3 linked regions of the Lytechinus pictus genome follow. The protein of the gene in region 3 interacts with the protein of the main gene of each other region in a biochemical or structural test. Links are inferred from orthologs where the notes say so. Each region holds a gene or a part of one and is shown on either strand. Other genes may lie near its edges.

Region 1 (7,479 bases), on a different chromosome or scaffold from region 3:
TAAGATAATGACTCACATGTTTACTCGTGCTCTACCCCCCCCCCCCCCCCCCCCATGAAGGGTGTGTGTGTGTATAGCGACAACCACAATTCTAGTTCAGTGCCCCGTTACATAAAGCTTAACGATTGATCGTAAAGCTGATTTCTACGATCGATTGCATTGATAAGTGTGAGTGATCAATTGTAGTAATCAGCCTTACGATCAATCACTACGCTTTGTGTTAACGGGTCCGGGATTGTGATGACGGTCAAGGCGTTGGTCAAGGATGTATTTGTTGCAGTTATGACAGTGAGGGAACAGCTGTTAGTCAAACCAATCTATTGCGTTTCCTTGATGCGCATTCCATGCTAATCTGCTAATCGTCTTGCCAAAAGGGGCGGATCTAGGATTTATTTGAAGGGGGAGCTCACACTGACGAAAAGTTTATTGTATAGATTGCCAAAAAAAAATCATTATAAATACTGGTGAAGCATAGCAGGGGCGGATCCAGGATTTTTCGAAAGGGGGGGCACATTTACCCGAGGAATAATTTGACGAGCAAAAAAAAAGGTCTTCACTTTCAAGGGGGGGGGGGCACACTTCCGTTTTAATGGCATTTTTACATTACAAATTTTAATTGAGCCTCTCATCAAAAGGGAGGCGGGGGCTGGCTGTGCCCCCCCCCCCCCCTGAATCCGCCAGTGGCGTGAAGGTTTGAGGAAAATCCATAAAAGATTAAGAAAGTTTTTTGGAATTTTAATTTTTTTATCTGTGATGTACGATACAAGCAGCTGCCCAATAATTATGTTTGGTAATATCAAAATGCATAGATTTTAAAGGACAAGTCCACCCCAACGAAAATTTGATTGGAATAAAAAGAGAAAAAATCCAACAAGCATAACACTGAAAATTTCATCAAAATCGGATGTAAAATAAGAAAATTATGACATTTTAAAGTTTCGCTTAATTTCACAAAGTTCTGGGCACATCCTGGTGGGTGTTTCATAAAGCTGTTCGTAAAGTTACGCATGACTTTACGCACGACTGGAACATGTTCTTAGGTCATAAACAATTACATAGGGATATCACACAGCACAAGAAAGGATCACCAGTCGTGCGTAAAGTCATTCGTATCTTACGAACAGCTTTATGAAACACCCACCAGGTGGGTATGCAAATGAGGGGACTGATGACATCACTCACTCACTATTTCTTTTGTATTTCATTTTATGAAATCATGATTTATTCCCATTCAGTCTCCTCATTGTCCTTGAAACGAAGTTTAATTCCTCCCTGAACACGTGGAAATGCCATCCCATTAACATTTTATGGTTCAGTCAAGTTGGTCCTTATTGTCAAATCTGTAAAAATTGAAATATTCTACATTTCAAACAATAAAAAACAAAAGAAATAGTGAGTGAGGGACATCATCGACTCTCTCATTTGCATGTCATTGAGTTGTGCATGTTCTGTGAAAAATAAGCGAAACTTTAAAATGTCAAAACTTCTTTATTTTACATCCGATTTTGATGACATTTTCAGCATTATGCTAGTTAGATCTTTCTCTATTGTTTAAATCAACATTTTTCTGAGGTGGACTTGACCTTTAATGGTTCATGATGACTAAAATCTTTTATATTTCAGGGCGGGTGTGAAATAATTTGTCTGTTGATATAGTACAGGTACAATTAAACTCATTTGATTATTTTCAGAAAATTACCTTTCATTGTTCATGTGACGTAACAAATCAAAAAAATTAAATTCTAATATTTGTACATGATTTTTCTTAAACCTCCATCAATATTTTTGTATCATTTTGTCTGCTATTTTTACAATAAACTTTTTGTGAGGGTGAACTTCCCCTTTGTAGGAATAGGGGTCAAACTTTCGATCTTTGTAAATGATGGTACATAAGTGATGAGCATATCAAAGAGGGGGGGGGGCTAAGGGTCTAAATCTCGATGTTGTGCAGGGTTTTCCTCTCTTCGTCGTCTTTGTTTAGTTTTATTTGCCGTATAAAAATCACAACAAAATACATCGTACAAATTAATTTTAAGATTAAATATATAAAAAAAACACCTTAAAAATATAAGGATGGATTACAGTTTCTCTATTAAGAGCCATTAACATAATGGCTCTGTTATTCCTAGAGGTCGTTGTTGAAGTACATAATTTTCCGTAAGGGGAGGGGTTTGGGGCCATATATGGACCCCCCCCCAAAAAAAAAAAAGAGAGAGAGAAAATTAAGTTAAAAACTAATAAAAACAAGGAAAAAGGACGAAAAGGAAATGCGCGAAATTTGATCATTTTCTGAGTATTTTGCCAAAATATATCACAAAATTTGCGTTTTGTATTAAAATGTCAAAATGCTCGCTTGCTTGGCTCGCTCGGAACTTTGATAATTTTGCCCATGCACCATGTTTGTCTTGATTCCCTCAAAATTGTTGGCTCATTGCGTGCACTGTGAGTGGACACGTCCAGCTAGGGACCATCGGGTGTGATCCCCAGTAATATTATGCAAATAACGAAAATAATTGATAAAGTTTCGCCGAAGTTCTGGGGTGTCAAGTGAGAGAGAGAGAAAGTTTACAATTGACAATCTCAACAAAACCATGTAGTAATTATTTTCGAAACCAACAACCCACAACATAATCAAGGGCCTATGTGACCTACATAATGGAAGAAACTGAAGCTGCATAACTGATCAGAATAATATGCCTGCCCTATCAACAGCATGATTTCGCAATGTCAGCTTTTCAGACACGCCAGCAAATTCGTTCGTATCGGAAAAGGACCAAAAGCCTGACTATATTCTGACAAAACAAAAATAAACGGGCGCAAAACAATCCAAAGATGAGATCACTCATCGAATAAAAAATAAAGCACCGTTATTCTCCGGAAAATTTGTCCAATGTCATTTCCATCCAGGGACCCGTTTCATAAAGACTTGTTATAACAACAAACACGCGCAGTTTACTATCAGCCAATCAGATTGAAGGATTTCAGTAGCTTTAAACATGTTATTGCAAATTTGGTTTTGTGAAAAGGGCCACTGGTTTGTTGAGGGATCCTGTCATCAGTAAAGGAATTTCCTGGGAGGATGGTCGATGGTAGTTGTCAAGGTTACCTCACTCAATTTCAAACTTTCTAGGGTAGCATTCTGATAAATTAAACCAAGGATTAACCCTAGTCTATTTTTTGTTTAACCACACTCTTCTATGGAATGCATGCAGGCTTCGAACAATTCTTCCATATTCGTATAGCAGTATAATGTATAAATTAATGCATTAAAATTCATATTTTCGTATTTTCTTATTTCTTTCAATTTCACTCAATTTTTAACAACTTTTAACAGAAGATTGGGAATAACTTTTATGAGTTTGACAGGTGGCACTCCATAAATGTGTGGTCTGAGTTAACCAAATCTCTATGGAGTTAACCCAGGTTTAATTAAACCATGGCTATCAGATTACCACCCCTATAATAGGCCTACGGTGAACATGAATAACAAAATTGACAATTCTGTGAACAATATTTACGTTGAAATCCTGAATTTTATTTATTATAAATTATTTACCAAAACAATTCCTACATGTTATGTAAATTTCTTTATGTTAACTATCAATTTATTTGTATAATAGAATGTATATACTTATAAATGTATAATTTGTATTATGTTTTTTGTTCTTCTTGGAAATATAAGATCGAATTTGAATTTGAATAGGAAAAGCAATCGGGGGTGGCGAGAAGGGGGGGGTGACAAAACATTGGGGTGAACGTTAAATCAAGTTCGATGTAGACTTTTTTGGCTTGGTGTTGGGCTGTAACACAGTACAAGCGAGAAGATCGAGCGAGCGAGAAGAATTTGTGGTGGGCCTGGGGTTATTCATCTGCAGGGTTAGAAATGTAATGTAATCTTGGCTGCATGCGATTGTTTTCCAACAGCTCTTCTAATATATATATACTGTATATTATATCTCAAAATTATTCCGTTCAAAAGTTATAGCATTTTTATTTAGGGGGGGGGACTTACTTTTTTTGTTGTAGTTTGTGGTAAAAATATAAATACAACGAATCAATTAATTGGTTTATTAATTGAACAATCAATTAATACAAAAACAAACGTAAAAATAAAGATCATGAAGGTAGCTGATTTAACTTATAGAATACAAAATAAATAATGAAATAAATCTAGATTAATCAGTCAATAAGTGAATGAATAATTAAATGAATGAATAAATAAATAAATAATATGAATACGTAACTTTTCGGGTGTTGTCATAGGATCATTCATTGTGTATGAATTGTTATGTACTAGTATGTAATCATATTTCTACTTTTGTCTTGACAGCGGCCGTCTGAGCCGTCCGATTAAAAAAATCTACCGGTACAGCAAAGGACTGGGCGCATACGTCAAATCACTCAAATGTATATGTGCATGTGGACGTGGCCGGCCTTGGCGCGCAAAATTGAATAATAAAAACAAGAGGAGTTGCACGTGTGCGGGAAAAGAGGTGAAACGTGAATTGAGTCGCAAAAATGATTGGACAGTCAAAGATATCGGCTTTCTTCAGCCCAAAACAGGTCAAAAGACCACTTTCAAGTGTAGAAAACACACAGGTATTGTAAATTGATTTATACCGTATTTCATTTGCATTCTCAGGCAGGAAAATGAGCTACTGCTGCTTCCGATTTGCTGAGGGCTACAAGTACCTTACCTCGAGCGAAGTTCGTGCAGGCTCCACTCCACTTCACTACCGCTACACTACGCTTCACCTACCCGGGTAGGTGAAGCGTAGTGTAGCGGTAGTGAAGTGGAGTGGAGCCTGCACGAACTTCGCTCGAGGTACATGTACCTCGGCTCGAGCTCAGCAGTGCCAGTGCCTGGTTGATTAACCCAGGGCAGGGAGCTCCGGCCCGCTTCGCGTGCCGGATCCCAGGAGTCGACCGTGCAAAACGAGGGAGACACTGAGCCGGTAGATTGGGGTCTCAATAATAATCTTAATAAAATGTTGAAACAGAAATTATGCACTTACCACGTCCACAATGGATGAAGGTCTATCGTGACACACAAATCCTGACATCATGGACATCGAGGGCGAGGCACAGTGCCACAGACAATGACAGACTGGAACCTCAAAAGACAAAAAACCAAAACTGTCGCGATACCTCTCCTTTCAAAATTAAAAACAAAAAGGCCGATCGAGACCTAATCCTAGGCTATATATTTTTTTTTAGGTTCCAACTTCCAGTCTGTGCCTCGATGTCAGGATTTGTGTCTTGTGCAGTCAGACCGCAGGTCCCTATGGCTATGCTAATGAGCAAAAAGGCCAGATTCATCCAAATCATCTCGTGGCTGAATCCTCCTCCTTGCAAAATCGAGATTTTCTTTCTCTAAGATTAAGAATTTACCTGTTTTAACCTCAAGTTAAATGAAATATTATTGCACCATCAGATAGAGCTAGTAAATGTTACTCTTTCATATCGGTTATTTATTTTGTATACAATATTTCGTTAAATAAGTAAATTTCTGGCCTGAAAATGTGCCTCAAAACTGAATTTTCTTCCTCTGTTTTCTTTTGCAAATTGTGCAAAACTTTTTATTTTGAGCCTCAATGATATCTATATCACCATAAAGCTGAACTTCAGTACTTTCTCACAATGCCACTCTTGATATCCGGCACCTTTTAATCGGGTCAAGATCACACTTTTCCCACCAAGGTACAAGACGAGATTTCTGAAATTTTGTACTTGCATGAAATCCAGAGTTCTGATTGGCTGGATAAGGTTCACAGAACAACAGGCGCGGGGTATTTGAGGAGATTACCACATGGGAAGTGTGACCTTCCCATGAACACAGGCACTGGAACCGTTGGAATTTGCCACTGTGTGGTCTCTGACCAATCAGAGTGCAGTATTCTTGTTTTCAAGCTGCTTTATGTACTTGGCAAATGAAAAGTGTGATCTTGACCCGATTAAACCAATTCTTATTTTGAAATCTATATCATTTTAAAGCATACATATTCAGCTTTATCATGATCTGAAAATCATTTGGGCTCAAACAAAAATAAAGTGTGAAAATAGCAGCTTTTGTCAGGTGAAAATAATTATTTTGTAGCATATTTTAGATCAATATTTTAACCTATATTACAAAATCTTTGAATAAATTCAAACACATGACCTGAAAGAATGATTCTTCTTCTTTACAATAACACCAAATTCATGAAATTCGATGCACAATTAAAGCAGCAATGACCGAATGAAAAGAGGTGTTTTGGTCCGCATCAGGCTCATTAAATATGCAAAACATCTCAAGTCATGAATATCACTTGGATGAAAGAAGCCACTTTCTTGGGACCTGCCGTCTGACTGTGTGTGTCAGTACTGTCACGATACTTGATATACGGTAATCGTGGTAAGTGCATAATTTCTGTTTCCACATTTTATGAAGATTATATTGAGACCCCAGTCCCGTGTCTCCCTCGTTTTGCACAGTCAACTCCTGGGATCCGGCTTGCTTCGCGTTACGAACCCATGAATTCTAATTCAGTATTCAATTCAACTCTTCCAAATCCATCGAGGCCCGAAAAATACTAATTCCTTCAATACCACATTCCAAACACAGCTGGCCTGAACTAGAAAAACCGGCAACTAAAACTAACCATTATCATGATTATGGAATGTAATCAGTGCAAGATGGCAAACGAACTTTTTACCAAAGGCAAAACAACCAAATCTCTATTTTCCACCCCGCTGTATAAACATTGCAGCAATACTTCCATATATGTCCCCTCCAGTAAAATTGAAAAAAATATGAAGAAGGTTTATATCAAGTCATATATCTCAGAGTTTTAGGAGGGAAAAGTTGGATACATACCAAAATGTGGCTTGTATTCGTCAAATAATCGAGTGTGCAATAAATAGTGTGAGTGATACTATACAGACCTCGCACAAGAATGTCCTGTGCCTGTGGCATGGGACTTTTGAATACAAATTTATACATGTTTAGTAATTATAGTAGTAGTGTAGAAGGATTAATGATTACTATACAACAAAAAGGGATTTCCATATGATATATTTCCAAAAAAATTACCTGTCACACATTCATTTTTGCACACCTTGATTTAGACAGGAATAACCGTCGTTTCTGGGGATTTGTTTAACATTTTCTAACATTTTGCTATTGGTGAGTGGAGCCAACGCAGTTCAGCAGAACAACCAAATACAGAGACTGAAGCTTTTGGTCTAACCTTGATTATGCTATTGGCCTTTATCATAAAATAAGATTTGCAAAGCTTCTAGCACAAATTTGCTGTCATCCAATCAAAGACCATGAAATCGGGAGCTTTCATCAAACAGTTATTGTAATTTTGAATCGTAACAGCCTTTGTGATCTTGATGTCTTTCAATTCAGAGCCCATCACCCAAAAAAGCCAAAGATGCGAATAATGGCAAGCCTTCTGGACTGAGTCCTGAGCAGAAGCAACGGATGGAGGAGAA
Region 2 (8,067 bases), on a different chromosome or scaffold from region 3:
ACGAGTAGTTCTCACCTTCTTGTCCATTTTGAGCCACGCGATATAGCGTTTAGAATCCTCATATTGCAGTCCAAAATACCAAGTCTCTCTTAATCCTATAGTACGACACACCAAGTCAAATAATTGGCGTCCAGTGGTTTTCACCTAGAAAAGAAAAATTGATTTCACATCAGCGTTGCTGAAATTTTGTTACATTTATGACAATTTAATGCCAAAGAACATCAATTGTTTTTCAAATTACTACCTATTTTTGCCCTCAAGTCAGGCTCAGTTCAGACTTCTAACTTAATATCAATAAGAATGATCTCTGCAATGACTACAACAGACACAATTATAACTGTGTGTTATAGATATATATGCAGATGAAGAGTTTTGAGTCCTGGTCAGGTCTTAAGAATGGTGGCATTATAGGTCGGCTCCACACACAATCTTTGATACACGCATGGCCCTGGGAAGCAGGGGTGCTGCATGTATTATTCTCTATAGACTATAGGCAGCACGCCCTGGAATTCTGGTAGGTGTTAAACAATGTAACGAAAATTACCTTCATTTTGTAGTGAAACCCTTTTTGGGGGGTCAAATTTACATCAGCACCCCCAATAAAAAATCGTTTCCAGGGCCCTGGATACATGTCTGTAAAATCTCACACACACACTTTACTGACAAACATGAAAAAAAACTCTAAGAATAATGAGAATTTCCTTATCTAAATTGGAAGATTTGACAAGTTCTACCTTAGTGAGTAAAACACTTTTTTTTTTTTTTTGGGGGGGGGAGGGTGATTCTAACATTTATCTGACTGGACGTAAAAATAAAAGGGCCAATCCTAGTACCAAATATCCCATGCGCTAGACGACCAGGTGAAGCGGGATTTAGCATCGAGGTGAAATTCATGATATTGATCGGCAAATGCACGCATTTCGGCAAATGCACGCATTTTTTATCAAGCACCGCTCATGATGTTGCCGCCCTCAAGACATGTCTGGTAGCTAGGCTACAATAAAAAAGAAGACAAGATGGCGACAATGACATCTATGAGTAAATATGCTCATCTTCTTATAATGTTTTGGAAATTCAACATGTAATTTTGTTTTAAAACTAAAAAAATTTGGGCGGAAAGGGTTAACAGGATATTGTAGCCAATTTACATAAGTTTGGGCTCAAAACCCTGAAGAAAAGTTGTAATTTTGAGGAGCTTTAATCGTGGGGGAAAAATGATGGTGCGTGTACTGAAATGGCATGCCATTCCTGGCTCCGTGGAGATTACTGCCAAGTTCCTACGGAGTACGGGAGTTACAACAAACAGAAACCTATGTAGCAAATGAATTAATCTCTAGGAGCCTCCTGGCTAATCATAAGTAAATTGAATGGTTGCGCAGTCATGGGGAACCGTTTTTTATCAATTTGCAAATGACTGGCCAAGGTTTTTACAAGAAAATCATATAGAATCTAGTCTACTTCTCTCAATTTTTAGGAGACTTTTGGCACACTTACATGTACTTATAAGAATGTATAGATCTATTAAGGTAAGGAACATTTAACATTATATATCAATTGAATTTTTTTGTGGAATAAACTTTATCAAAGACTAAGGTCTTAGTCAAGAGAAATTCATGTTTAATCTCAATTAAATCTTCGTGCCCCCTTCATAATCACATATAATTTATTTTTGTGAGATATGGGGAAATTGTTTTCAGATTCATGTGGATCGAATGACCAAACTCCTAAAAATAGCAGCCCGTTTGATCCTGAGATGTCATATACATTGTACACCCCATATAAAAAGAAATGTTTTCACATCTAGATTGGACGGCCTTCCAGTAGGCCTACAGAATCATTTATTTTCTATATATATTTGTTTGGAAATGTGTTCATGGACTCGCACCAGAATACTACTCAAATTATTTTCAGGATCTAAAAAAAACCCATAGAAAATTACAAGGCAGTCTGTCAGAAACGATCTTGTTGTACCAAGGTGTCGGTCTGATTATTGCAAACTTTCCTTATTTTACGCCTGTCCGAAACTGTGGAATAACTTGCCGGTCATCATACGGGAACTATCATCTTTAAATTCTTTAAATATAATCTTAAAAAACATCTCACATCAATTGACAATTAAGGTTCACGTTGGCACTTGCTACTTTGTTAAATTTATTTGTTTGAATGTTTCAATACCATTGTCATTGAAATAATCGCTCTAATTTTGCAATGTTTATTATTGATGTCTTCGCAATTCAGCTTTTATTGCATTGTTTCTATATGTTATGTTATTTCGAATAGGTCTAAATATCTGTTAAAGTGTTATTGCATTGTACTAGGGCCCCACGGGAGATCAACTGTTGATGTTGTTGAATGGGCTACCCATTATTTAAATTAACATAAACAATAATATTTTTCAGTCTGATAACGTCAGAAAGTGAAACTCACATCAATGCTGAATTCTAATTCGGCATCCAGAGTCTGGACTCTAACAGTAAAAGTTTTCTGTGATCGTCGCATTAGCGACATGATGATGAACCTCCGTTGTAGCACTCAGCTACAAATAGCACATCCGCGATTCTGCTGCATCTATGTCAGCGGACCAGCTCCTTCGCCAGAGCACGCCCATCCAATCATCTAACTCTCGTTGTTGGTGGTGTTATGATTCATGCAACTGGTATTCCACGCACTTCTCCGTGCATGCGTGTCTTGGCTACTCGGACCGCAAGGCCCCGGTTGCGAAGCGAGCGTCAATCGTGGTGGAAGGCAGGGAGAAACAAGAAAATCATGATATCGTTCCTTTCAAAACACAATAGAAGAGCTAAGAAATATTCTTCTGAATAGTGTGTTGAATTACATACAAAACAAATCGACAGATTTTTTTTCCTTGAAAGTAGTGTAACGTTAGTCGGCCACTTGTTCCCCTTCGGCTTCGGCTTAGCTCACTCACGAACTTTGTAATGTACACAAGACTGGTCTAGTACTTTCACACTAAGTTGACGCAAAGTAACATGGTTGTGAATTGTTATTATTGAATCACTATCTAAAAATAGTGTTGAAGCACCAGTCTGCCGAGGAATGCTCATTTTTACATTAGGTGGTCATACAGTACAACAGAAACGTTCCCTTTTGTTTTGTTTCTAGTCTAAATTCTAGACTCTGAGAATTGACTTCAACAGTGTAGCCTCGAAGTGTAGCTGGAAGATTGAAAATAACTAAAATATTCAAATCTCCTCCAGTTTCTATTACCCCCATATACCATCGTCAATCGTTTTCGTCATCATTCGTAATATATCATCAGAATCACCATCATCATCTTCATCGATCGTCATCATCGTCGTCACCGGCGTCGTCGTCATCATCATCATCATCTTCATCATCATCATCATCATCATCATCTTTATCATCATCATCATCATCATCATCATCGTCATCAACATCATCACCGGCACCACCACCTAAGCTTGACCTCTAAACACTTACACGCGCATTAGCCTATGTTTAAAATAGCCTACTGACCAGGGGAGTGTTTCATCAACATTTTCATCCGACAAGTTGTCAGATCTGACATCTTTCTCTGATGTTGATTGGTTGAGAGGTACTGTTACTATGGTAACTGTCGAATAAAATGGGACTTGTCGGATAAAACGTCCGACAAGTCCTTTCATGAAACGCCCCCCCCCCCCCAGGGACCCCCAGGGACCCCCAGGGACCAATCAGTGCGGTTCTGTCATATTTGCGATTCATAGCAAACCTTTGTTCATCTTATCACTGAACATAACAAGGGTGTGGTGTAATGAGGAAAAATATGAGGGGCAGAATGCATCTGGAGCAAAATTTACAAAAAGTGTCCAGCGAGTGAAGCGAGCGAGCTAAGTTTTGAAAATGAAAATCTAATTCTGTGAAAGATCAGTGGCATAATATTAAAATATATATAATTTCAGATTTCACCTTTCGTTTATTACCTTGCCTCTTCTATTTCTTGGTCATGGAAAATTTGCTTGTTTATATAATGTGGACAGAACTTCTTCGTCATCGACGGATTACTTTTCAACAAAGGCCCCCAAAAATACTGTGTCGAATCCAAACGAACATTTGATATTTGTCTAAAACACACTATGTCAGAGATGAGAAGGGGATGAATGATTGTCGTTGTTAAGCGGATCAGTCCCTCAAGGAACTGAATTTTCTGTTTATGGCCCCGACCTCTAGCGTACCTATGGGGGGGGGGGGCAGATTGCCCCCCCCCCCCTGACGAGTCACAACCCATTGCAAGGGACGTATCCCTTTTTTTTTTTTTTGCTTGTCAATTTTTTCTGGTACAAAATGTCCTTTACATGCGCTTGAAGACCTTTTTTTTTGCTTGTCAAATTTTTGGCGGACGAATTTGCCCCCCCTCTGGAAAATCCTAGGTACACTACTGGCCCCGACCGTATCGATAACATCACTTCCCAAAGACGGGATTGAATGGGCTAGCTATTTCGCTATGCCCCCTCCACAAAAATAGGTTCCGTTGCTCAGCATATTTTTGTTTTTGCTTTGTAGAAGTCTTTGTTGATAGATCAATAAAAATCTAACACTTAGTTCGATTCATTACATCAAATACAAAAGGTATGTCAGTGGCGGATCCAAGGGGGAATGGGCACATCCGGTCCGTGCACCCCGGCCCCCTTTTGAGAGCCAATAATCAAAATTTTTAATGTTCATATACCGTTCTTACACACGTATGCCCCCTTGAAAGGTCAAGCATAATATTTTATATGCCGTTCATACAGAAGTGAACCCCCCTTTTTGCTTATCAAAATTTTCTCTGAAAAAGGGGCCCCCTTTTGGGAAATCCTGGATCCGCCCCTGGTACATGTATATGCTTGCCTAAAGATTCTTATGATACATAATAACACAAATTTTGTTAAATAAAATACATAAAGAGTTGCATACCGTATCTCATCAACTAATTGAGGTTCTAGGACAATTACCCCCGGACAATTACCCCCCCGGACAATTACCCCCGGACAATTACCCCTGAGGACAATTACCCCCCGGACAATTACCCCCTGGACAATTACCCCCGAGGACAATTTCCACCGAGAACAATGAACACCCCCCCCCCCCCTCCCCGAGGACAATAACCCCCTATAGACAAAGTGAGTGCACAGAGTCATACGTCGGCCGTACGTTTGACGTAAGAAGTACTCAAGGCATTCTCGAGTATCTTGGAATCAAACGAACGCCGTAAGAAAGCTGTAAAAGTAAGCTCCATCTCCATCCCCCTTCTCTCCGGCATCAATGTTAGAATTAAGCGGGACCCAATGTAAGTTTTGGTCGGTGGCACAGGTTTTCGAAATATTTTCTATTTTATCTTACGTTAATAACCCTTTCTTTCTCTTTTATAAAAATATATTGCTCTTTCTCCTGTTCTCTCACTTTCTTCTTTTTTCCTTGCTTTTTCCTTTTTTTCTTCCTTTTTTTTGTTTAGCGGCGCCTTCTGCATCATGACAAATGGGGGGGGGGGGGGCTTGCACCCGAAACCTCCCGTTTGGCTATGCATATATACATCAGAAAATTTGTAAACTGGCCCCCATACTAAGTTTTCATAGAACATTGAACACGATTAGTCATAATAATCACAAATGCTGAATATCTCTGATTCCAACTGATCTGATTTTTTAAACATTTATTTTAGGTTTAATTTCAGGAAAGAAATAAGGCAAATAGATATAACGTAAAAAAGACACCTTCAGGTAAAAATATTGAAAGTCGATAACGCAACTATCAACACTAACACTGTCAAATATAGGACCCATATACCTGTTATTTTAAAACAATTCAACTAACAAGAAGCTAAGAATTATGAAACAATTGGCAAGGGCGGATCCAGCTCCCGCCAAAAGGGGGGGGGGGCGAAATTTGTTTTCACCCATATTTTCCCCGATCGGCCACTCAAAGGCGGCTCAAAGTTGATTTTGTTTATTTCTTCGAAGGGGTTGTCTAAGTAGCGTATGAGCGAAAAAATTGAGGGGGTTTGATACGGCATATCGCGTAAAAATTAATGAGAAGTTGCGAGCAAAGCGAGCGAGCCAAAATTTTGACATTTTAATTACAAAAATCAAAGTTTGCGATAGATTTTGACATAACATTAAAAAAATGATAGGCCTAAATTTTAAACTTATCCCTTTCCCTTTCTCCCCATTTTCTTGGTAGTGAAAAATTGGGGGGGGGGGGGGGGGGCAAAACGCCGATGTCCTAACAGTCATTTCTTAGCTTCATAAAATGTTAATATCATATATATTAATGCAATAAAGCGTAATGAGTGAGTGAAATTTGTTGACATTTGAGGCATGAAAACTAAATATTTTAAGCAATTTTGCAATCATGAATAGGATTTATGAGTTGATATGTTTTTAACTATTAATGAGAGCGCAAATCGCGAGACGAAATTTTTGATAAACTGTCATAAAAGGGGGATTATAGAATTAATATATAAAGAATTTATTGGATGAATAAAGATAATAATTATGTAGGCATACTTCGCAAATCAAATAATGCGAGTGCACAGCACAAAGAGCTGCAATTGACATTCACACTTGAAAAAAATCAATTTGTAAATAAAAAAATAATGAAAGCTCGATATCTGAGATGAAATACGTTTTGTATATTGACTTCAAAACTTGATATTTTAAGCATATCAGTCTATATTGAGCAAGATATGAATCTCATCGAAAAGGCAATGCGAGCGGGAAGCGTGAGCGAAAATCTTAGTGACATATTAAAAGTCTTCCCTTCACCTTATTATTCACTCCTGTTCCTCCTCTCATTTTCTTCTTCTTTTATCTTCTATCTTTCCCCTTCTTTTTTCTTTCTTCCCCCCTTTTTTGTTCTGTCAATACTACGCCACTGCGAAGATTGCCAAAACGAATGATCTTATGCTACGGTGACATACAAATTATGATCGAATTCTGGGTTTCGTAAAGATTTGCAGATGGAGCTTACTTTTACAGCTTTCTTACGGCGTTCGTTTGATTCCAAGATACTCGAGAATGCCTTGAGTACTTCTTACGTCAAACGTACGGCCGACGTATGACTCTGTACACTCATTTTGTCTATAGGGGGTTATTGTCCTCGGGGAAGGGGGGGGGGGGTTCATTGTGCTCGGTGGAAATTGTCCTCGGGGGTAATTGTCCGGGGATGATTGTCCGGGGGTAATTGTCCTGGGGGTAATTGTCCTCAGGGGGTAATTGTCAGGGGGTAGTTGTCCGGGGGGTAATTGTCCAGTGGGTAGTTGTCCTGATCCCACTAATTATTGATAATATTCTGAACGCTGCATTATTTAAGTCAAGTCAACCCTTACCCCATTCCCTTCCTTTGACCTTATCAGGGCTGCTCCCCCTACCTCCCTCTATTATAATATGCATACTCTATCATGCTTTGATATGCCTGATAGCTCTTTATATCTTAACTATACTCTGTCTCATTTGTCACATTTTCTAAGGTGTTCAGCAAATTCCCTTTCTTCTAGCCTATCTTTTCTTGTATTTTCTCTTTAATCTGGATAAGGGTCGTTGTTGCTTCATCGAGTGTTCTATTAACAGTGGCGGACAGATGGGGGGCCTTGGGGAGTTTGCCCCCCCCCCCACCAAAAAAATAATAATAATAAAATAAAGTATTATAAAATAATTCAACACCAAGAAAAAAAGGAAAGAAATTAAAGAAAGAAGGGTGAAATGTGATTATTTTCTGAGTATTACGTCATAATCTATCACAAAATTAGATTTTTGTAATAAGGCGACATTTTTGCTTGCTCGCTTTGCTCGCTCACAACTTTACATAAATTTTGCCTGATAGGCCATTTCTGGCCCCCTCACTGATTTTTTTTGGCTCATTTTTACAAACTGTATACTTAAAGGTCAAGTCCACCCCAGAAAAATGTTGATTTCAATAAATAGAGAAAAATCAAACTAGCGTAACACTGAAAATTTTCTCAAAATCGGATGTAAAATAAGAAAGTTATGACATTTTAAAGTTGCGCTTATTTTTCACAGAACAGTGATATGCACAACTCAGTGACATGCAAACATGAGTCAGTCGATG
Region 3 (8,089 bases):
TGTAAACTAAAAAGGTTATGACATTTCAAAGTTTCGCTTAATTTCACAAAGCAGTTATATGCACATTCTGGTCGGTATGCAAATGAGGAGACTGATGACGTCATCCACTCACTATTTCTTTTGTTATATGAAATATTCTAATTTTCTCATTGTCAAGTGGAACAACAATTAAATCCTTCCTGAACATGTGGAATTAGCATTGTTGAATATGCTATATATGGTTCAGTCAAGCTGGTCCTTATTGTCGAATATGTAAAAAAAAAATGAAATATTGTATTATTCAAACAATAAAAAACAAAATACATAGTGAGTGAGGGACATCATCGACAGTCTCATTTGCATGTCACTGAATTGTGCATATCACTATATTGTGAAAATAAGCGAAACTTTAAAATGTCATAACTTTCTTATTTTACATTCAATTTCGATTAAATTTTCTGTGTTCTGCTAGTTGGATTTTTCTCTATTTATTAAGATAAAACATTTTCTGGGGTGGACTTTACCTTTAAAGTTGAATTAAGAAGGGGGTGAGTTTCCATAAATATAGGTTCTACACACAATATATAGTATATATAAGTTGTTCAAACAGATAGCATGTCACAAAAATCCTCTGCCTTCTCGATATTTTGCTTTGAAAGTCTATGAAATTAGCCACCTGTCAGAGCCCGAGAGACGAGTGTACAGAAAAGCCACTCGGAGTGTGACGTCACCGGGTGAATTTAGTATAAGAGGTGCCTGAATGTCATACAGAAATGCTATGCAGAGAGAGAAAGATATTTTACAATTTTTTTTCAAAGCAACTCAAATCAAACAAATAGGACTGATATGTACAAATCTTTACTTTCCCTGTATAAAAAACAGTATGAATAACCATCATGAACTCTTCAATCATGATGTAAGATAGCAAACAGTGAGTTATTGAATGATATTTTCACTATTTCTCATTTATTTTATCACGATGTTCAATCAAGTGAATAGCTGGAAAGTAATTCCGGCGGCTAGCTCAGCTCTCGCTCAGCGCGCGCTGATTGCAGAATACTAGTACACACAACACCCAGGCATTGAGTGTACTCAGGGAAGCTGGTGTACTGTTATGGTCTGGTATGTCGACTTAGTTCATGGCCGTGCAGCGATCCCCTGGCGTTTTTTCTTCTTTTCTTTTGTCTTTGACTCCACTTTTATATCCTCTGGATCATTTCCACTCATAGCTCAGTTCCACAGAACAATCTTGAACCAAACGTATTATTCTTTCTCGGCCTTCTGAGTTGTTTTCTATATTTAATTACGCTAGGGGTCACCGTCACACATACAAACGCAATTCGCAAGTGAGTTGAAGACAGAGGGATATTATAGTAATTAGTATACGTACATATCTATGGTTGAAGAAAACAAGAAAGGTATGCGGTACGGTAGCTAGCTCGACAGCTAGCTGCGCCGGAGCGGGCGGCCGGTTAGTCCAGATTGGACCTTGTTGTTTGGAAGTGCTTTTTCCCAAAGCTAACATAGAGGGCACATGTCTCCCAATCTCTAATCAGCGCCAATCCACTCATCTTCCCTCCCCAACAAATTTGGAATAATAGTACGGCCACAAATATTTTAATCATTTCCTCTTTGCAAGTTCTATGGCTCGCAGATACAACTTCAACTGCAGTTATTCCATATGAAGGCGTACGTGCATAGTACACAAAGCGGCACTGCCTTGTTTACTACACCGGGACCGAATACCCCCCGGTGACGTCACAGTCAAAGAACACCCGTCTCGGTAGGCATTGCAGGAGCGAACTCAGGGAAAATGGGTAGGGATAAATCGTTCAAATTCACTATTTTGAAAAAAGAAAATGGGGGGTCGAATCACCTCTTAGTGTTTGGGGGGTTGTAAGGTTGCTATTAATGTAAATATCTCAATATTTGGAATCGTCTTCTTAATTCAACTTTAAGAACGACTGGTGAACATTTCATGATGAATATCATTTACCACAAGAAAGATTTTTATAACACAACAACATCTCTTTCATCAAGTGTATGCAGCGTAATGCTAATATTATTTACTAGATTTACCATTGAAATTTGCAAAAGGCCTTGTTTTGTCGCTACGCTCACTCGCATACAAGTAATGGGAATATCCATATTAAGGGGTATGGCACTGGCGTAAGTCTGTGACGTCATGCTATTCAAGTGGGGGGGGGGGGGGGGTGAACAATAGATCACCCCCTTCCCCTGAACAATTTAATTATAGGTTCACCTCACGGATTTACGCCAGTGGATATGGCATGCAGGTAACTCATCTACGGCTGTGCAATGGTAGGTGGGGGAAAAGGCTCGGTCGCAATGCTCCCTCGCACGAATACAAAATTGTACTCTGCATTACACATACAGGTTTAAAGTGCCAATTTATACAATGAGTGACCAATATCTAGCATATGCTTGGGCGCAAAACGCTTCCTCTCATCATGGACATATGAAGAGATGGACATTCATCGCTTAGATAATGAATTCACTAACAGGTGACTGTAAATGTCATCTGAATAACATTCTCTTCATACTATAGCAACCATTGTTTTCATTGTGCAATTTTTGCCACTTTCCTAAAGAACGAGATAGGATACGGTCATACTTAACTATCACAATAGTCTGTAATTACAGGTATGTCTTCTTCATTTATATCATTATTATTTTAATTGAATTAATTATTTATTATTCATTAATTTATTTATCTGTTCATTCATTAATGTGTCATTATGGAATATATTCAACTTGGTGATAATTCATTGATGTGCAAAACAAACTTGGATGTTGTATCTCCTTATATTTTTCAGACGCTTCTGATGAAGTCTCAATTAAAAGACGAAAGCTAAAGCAAATAATGGTGTCCTGCGTCATCTGTTGAGTTGGCCTCGCCTCATCTCATTATGTTTAATATTCACAACTCAACAGCGATTGGTAGAAGTAAACTTATCATCACACACACTATATATATATATATATGCCTATGTGTGAGTGTGTGGGTGAGTCTGTTTGTTTTGTGTGATCGAGCGCCTTTGGAACGTTGGTTCATGATTTTGCCCCCCCCCCCAATCTGAAAAATTGATCGACGCCCCTGTCCCCACTTGTTCTTTTGTATTTTATTATATGAAATTAGGTTTATTCAAAAATTTTCTACCACGAACTAGAACAATTGGATTGACAACTGATTAAAGTGTTTAGTTATGTACTGCCGCAACTTATTTCATCATAATGGAGACACATCATTTACACATGCACGAAAAAATGAAACATTTATGATATCATGTAATAACATAAGAAAAAGGAAAGTGGGGATGTGACATCATTAGCCCACCTAATGAATATTCATGACGATGTGCATATAACTGTTTTCACAAAATATTGATAAACTTTAAAATTCAATAACTTTGTTATTTGTTATCCCGCCGATTTTGATGAAATTTTCACCACTTCGCTTTGTGAATTTTACTCTATTTTTAAATATAAATATTTCAGCCCGGACCATCCCTTTAAGAGATGGCAAAATGGAACGGGAATTTATGGAGGGCCTAGGGGGGGGGGGCAAAAGAAACGGGATATTGGGTAGAATGGATTGAGTGAAAATGCTGACATAAAATCTGAATCGAAAAAAAAAAAAAAAAAATTAAGAACACGACCGGGTTGCCGAGGATGAAAAATAAAGAACGGGAAGAAAGAATCAGATGGCGTATTATGTGCAAAAAATAGCTTGATATTTTCATGCAATAACGGTCGCAATTAATCAGGACAAAAAATTACTGAACTTTGAGAGGTTCCGGAGGTACCGCCCGAGCATTGCCGATGTCCCTAGCCGAGGGATAGACACGCACTTCCAATTAAATAATTAGATTTTTATTTCATAAGGCCATAAATATCCTTACTCGCTTCGCTCGCTCAGGATATTTTTTAATTTTTCCCACATTATACCCAATAATGTACCCCCTCAAAAGGTTTGGTTTATAATGCCACTACGATGAAGTAATGTGGTTTGCAAAACAAATCCCTGATCCGATTGAAAGTGGCCATCTTTCACGATTAAAATGGCTGAATTTGGTAAGGTTTTTGGGGCTCCGTGCATCCGCCCGGCAAGCCCCACCCACATAGCACTGATGTACAAATTAATAAAAGGCTTTAGGGGCTTGTGGCCTAATTGTGGCCCCAAAAGATTCTACGACCAAGAACAAAAAAGAAAAGAAGGAATTAAGGACCGGAAAAGTGGAAGATGTAATGTTTTCATTGGTATATCATGTCAAAATACTTAATTAAGATTGCAACGAAAAGGAACTTTTAAGAAACTTGCCACATGCCCCTTGCTGTGCCCCCTCATTTGTCGCTTTACACTCTTGCATAGAGCTAGCTTCGCACCAACGACCACAACAAAATCCTGTTCACCAGTGGCATATACAGATGGGGGGGGGGGGGGGGGGGCGCCCCAAAAAAGTAATGACAGCAAAAGAAAAAGGGAAGCTCAGAAAGAAAAGGAAAGAATGAAGGTGAAATATGATATCATATATTCTGAATAACGTAATTACTGTCAAAATCTATCACAAATTGAAATTTGATTTTTGATAAACATAACATTTTACCCACTCGCTCTTCGCTCTCTCTCAATTAAAAAAAATATGCGATACATCTAGCCCCTTCAAATTTTTTGGCTCATTTACGCCTTTGATTATGACTGGGAAAATATTTGCTCTTCAAGACGATTTACTTTTCATTTTTTCCCCTTGCAGATTAGTGCTCTTTGGGGGCTCTTAATTTGTTGTGTTGTTTTTTCAACAAAGTAGATTGAAGATTGAGAAACTTGCTTGACTCACCATCCCGGTAAACCCACTTTTTATTGTGTTTGCGCCCCAGGGTTTGTGCCGTGCGTTTTAGGGGTTTTGGTTATAGCAGTTGACAGATTGATCAATCAATTTCGACAGTATACACCGGCCGTATAAGCTTCGATTTCGATATTTCAACAATACGCAACTAACTGCAAGTTTAAGTCCAACATCACTATTACACGTGCGCGTTACCGTATGTGAGACTAGTACTTCGACCTGGCTGAAACTTTACCGAAAAAACATAATATTCTGGATTCGGTATTGTATAATTTCTTTCATTTTCGATAGGTTTTCATTCTATGAGAAATATAGTTAGTAATTATTGATATGTATTGTTGTATTTTTTGCGTGTTTTTCAAGTTATTTCATGGGACTTGCAGCTTGGGAGTGATGCGGATGGTACGGTGTGATCCCAGCTATTTGTATCCGTGTTGTGTTATTTTTGCTTGGTGTGCAACTGCAAAGTGCAAGCTCAAGACTAACCCAGGGGGCTCCCGCCCGCGAAATTATTTTTCCCACCGAGTTCTGGACCGACATATGAATATTCATGACTTGCGTCTTCGGATTGAGAGTACGCATGCGCGTGGACTTGGCCTCGACCAGTGCCGATCGTAAGCATTCACGTTGCTCAGAATGAGTTGGCATCGTCAAATTACTCTTATAGGCTTAGATCTATATATATATATATATATATATATATATCCAATTCTTAAACACTTAATAAACTAGCTGCCATTAATGGCAAGACATATGTGCTAGGGTAGGGCTAGCTTAGGCTAGCGCATTAACTTTACCTCAAATCTGGACCTGTCTAATGCCTAATAGTAATACTAATAGGAATAGCCGACTAATGCCATGGTTAACTTCGAACTTGTTAATTCCGAACTTTACGTTTGATTAGGTTTGGATCAATATTAGCTTATTTGCCATGGTTTAATATGTCTAGTCCGTATACAGAACCAGTCCTAGATCTAAAATAAATATCTTAGTTCTAGTCTAGTCTCTAGATCTAGACTCTGATCTACGCGCTATCAGCATGGAACCACTAGTGTACCAAAGGGGGGGGGGGGCAGACTGCCCCCCTGACGAGTCACAACTGATCCAGGGGACATGCCCCCCCCCCATTGAGAAGCCAAATTAATAATTTGTAATGTCAAAATGCAACGAAAAAAGACGTATGTCCCCTCTTTTGAACGTGAAAATCTTTTTTTTTTCTTGTCAAATTTTTTTCAGCTACGAAATCCTTAATTTTGGGTGAAGACGGGGATCAAGATCACTGACGTTAATTTGTGCCTGACGTTAGAATACGTTCCATGCACGCACTGGTGTACCTAGGATTTTCCAAAAGGGGGGCAATTTTTTTAGAGGGTATTTCGTCCGCGAAAAAATGTGACAAGCCCCCCCCCAAAAAAAAAAAGGGTATTCACCCCAAATTATGGATTTCTTAGCTGAAAAAAAAATTGACAAGCAAAAAAAAAAAAAAAAAGATCTTCACGTTAAAAAAAGGGGACATACGTCTTTTTCATTGCATTTTTACATTACAATTTATTAATATGGCTTCTCAAAGGGGGCACGTCCCCTGAATCAGTTGTGACTCGTCAGAGGGACAGTCTTCCCCCCACCCTTGGTACACTACTGGTTCCATGCTGATACAGCGTAGATCAGAGTCTAGATATAGAGACTAGACTAGAACTATATAAGATATTTTTTTTTTAGATCTAGGACTGGTTTTGTATACGGACTAGACATATTAAACCATGGCAAATAAGCTAATATTTGTCTAAACCTAATTAAACGTGAAGTTCGGAATTAACCAGTTCGAAGTTAACCATGGCATTAGTCGGCTATTCCTATTAGTATTAGGCATTAGACAGGTCCAGATTTGAGGTAAAGTTAATGCGCTAGCCTAAGCTAGCCCTACCCTAGCACATGTCTTGCCATTAATGGCAGCTAGTTTATTAAGTGTTTAAGAATTGGATATATATATATATATATATATAGATCTAAGCCTATAAGAGTAATTTGACGATGCTAATTCATTCTGAGCAACGTGAATGCTTACGATCGGCACTGGTCGAGGCCAAGTCCACGCGCATGCGTACTCTCAATCCGAAGACGCAAGTCATGAATATTCATATGTCGGTCCAGAACTCGGTGGGAAAAATAATTTCGCCTCCCGCCCGCTGCGCGGGCGGGAGCCCAGGAGCTTACCGTGTATTTGACCTTAGTCACCGGACTAGGGTGATTTATGGTCTAAATATTTCTCCAAATGAATTGTGAAAACAGAAAGTATACAATAACCACGATTATATGGATGAAGGTCTAACGAGTGGCAGTTTCCTGACATCTGGGCACAAACTGGAACCTCAAAAAACCGAAAAGTTCTCTCCTTCTAGTTCTACCCCCGTCTCGATCAGCCATTTTTGTTAAAAATCGTAACAAAATGGCCGATCGAGACTGGGGTAGAGGAGAGAACTTTTTTTTTTTTTTGAGGTTCCAGATCCAGTCTGTGCCCAGATGTCAGGAAACTGCCACTCGTTAGACCTTCATCCATATAATCGTGGTAATTGTATACTTTCTGTTTTCACAATTCATTTGGAGAAATATTTAGACCATAATTAAATCACCCTAGTCCGGTGACTATGGTCAAATACACGGTAAGCTCCTGGGCTCCCGCCCGCTGCGCGGGCGGGAGCTTCCTGGGTTAGCTCAAGACAAGTTCACCACTCACTGACACAATAGAGTAAAGTACCCAAATATTGGACACTTAAGCATAATTTGACCAAAACAAAAATACAGTCATTGAATCAAATAAAAATCATATGTATTTCTGTGGTAAAAATGTTGAATATTAATTTCATATTATAGATCATAGAACATTTTCCTAGTGTTACTGTTAGCAGTCTCTAGGCACCATGCCTATCAATTCCTGTGTTAAAAAAGTGAGTGCACGCGAATCAAAAGTTGGACTTAAATTACTAGATATTACCATGGAGCTCCATGACGAAATCTATTTTTAAATTAGACCCTCGATACTACTTATGGAAAATAATGTATAAATAAATAAAATAGTACTCGCCTGGTCTATTCTTGGGGTACTGAAGCCTTTTTGTCCAGAACTTGCTCAACTTTTGCGACTAACCTTGTCGCCATAGGGTTGTGTACATCCTCGTGTAATACTAGTTGTCACGTGACACAGCAATGTCGTTAGGCTGTTTGGCCTGTATTCAAGGCGTTCT

What was found.
Region 1: of the proteins of DDB1- and CUL4-associated factor 1-like (region 3) and uracil-DNA glycosylase-like, one has a biochemical effect on the other in vitro, tested with the Homo sapiens proteins (2 studies listed by BioGRID, with this or other methods). The link is inferred for Lytechinus pictus from reciprocal best matches to the Homo sapiens genes DCAF1 and UNG.
Region 2: the proteins of DDB1- and CUL4-associated factor 1-like (region 3) and merlin-like form a complex in vitro, tested with the Homo sapiens proteins (3 studies listed by BioGRID, with this or other methods). The link is inferred for Lytechinus pictus from reciprocal best matches to the Homo sapiens genes DCAF1 and NF2.

The regions. Positions count from the first base shown.
Region 1 is NC_087256.1:25,355,375-25,362,853, reverse strand, and holds the start of uracil-DNA glycosylase-like, read left to right. Parts: upstream 1-4,373; 5' UTR 4,374-4,518; coding exon 4,519-4,599; intron 4,600-4,741; exon of another isoform or gene 4,742-4,898; intron 4,899-6,310; exon of another isoform or gene 6,311-6,394; intron 6,395-7,281; exon of another isoform or gene 7,282-7,393; coding exon 7,394-7,479. UniProt on the Homo sapiens protein: Uracil-DNA glycosylase that hydrolyzes the N-glycosidic bond between uracil and deoxyribose in single- and double-stranded DNA (ssDNA and dsDNA) to release a free uracil residue and form an abasic (apurinic/apyrimidinic; AP) site.
Region 2 is NC_087246.1:17,163,022-17,171,088, forward strand, and holds the start of merlin-like, read right to left. Parts: upstream 3,060-8,067; 5' UTR 2,509-3,059; coding exon 2,428-2,508; intron 145-2,427; coding exon 16-144; intron 1-15. UniProt on the Homo sapiens protein: Probable regulator of the Hippo/SWH (Sav/Wts/Hpo) signaling pathway, a signaling pathway that plays a pivotal role in tumor suppression by restricting proliferation and promoting apoptosis.
Region 3 is NC_087247.1:55,106,164-55,114,252, forward strand, and holds the start of DDB1- and CUL4-associated factor 1-like, read left to right. Parts: upstream 1-5,046; 5' UTR 5,047-5,108; intron 5,109-8,089. UniProt on the Homo sapiens protein: Acts both as a substrate recognition component of E3 ubiquitin-protein ligase complexes and as an atypical serine/threonine-protein kinase, playing key roles in various processes such as cell cycle, telomerase regulation and histone modification.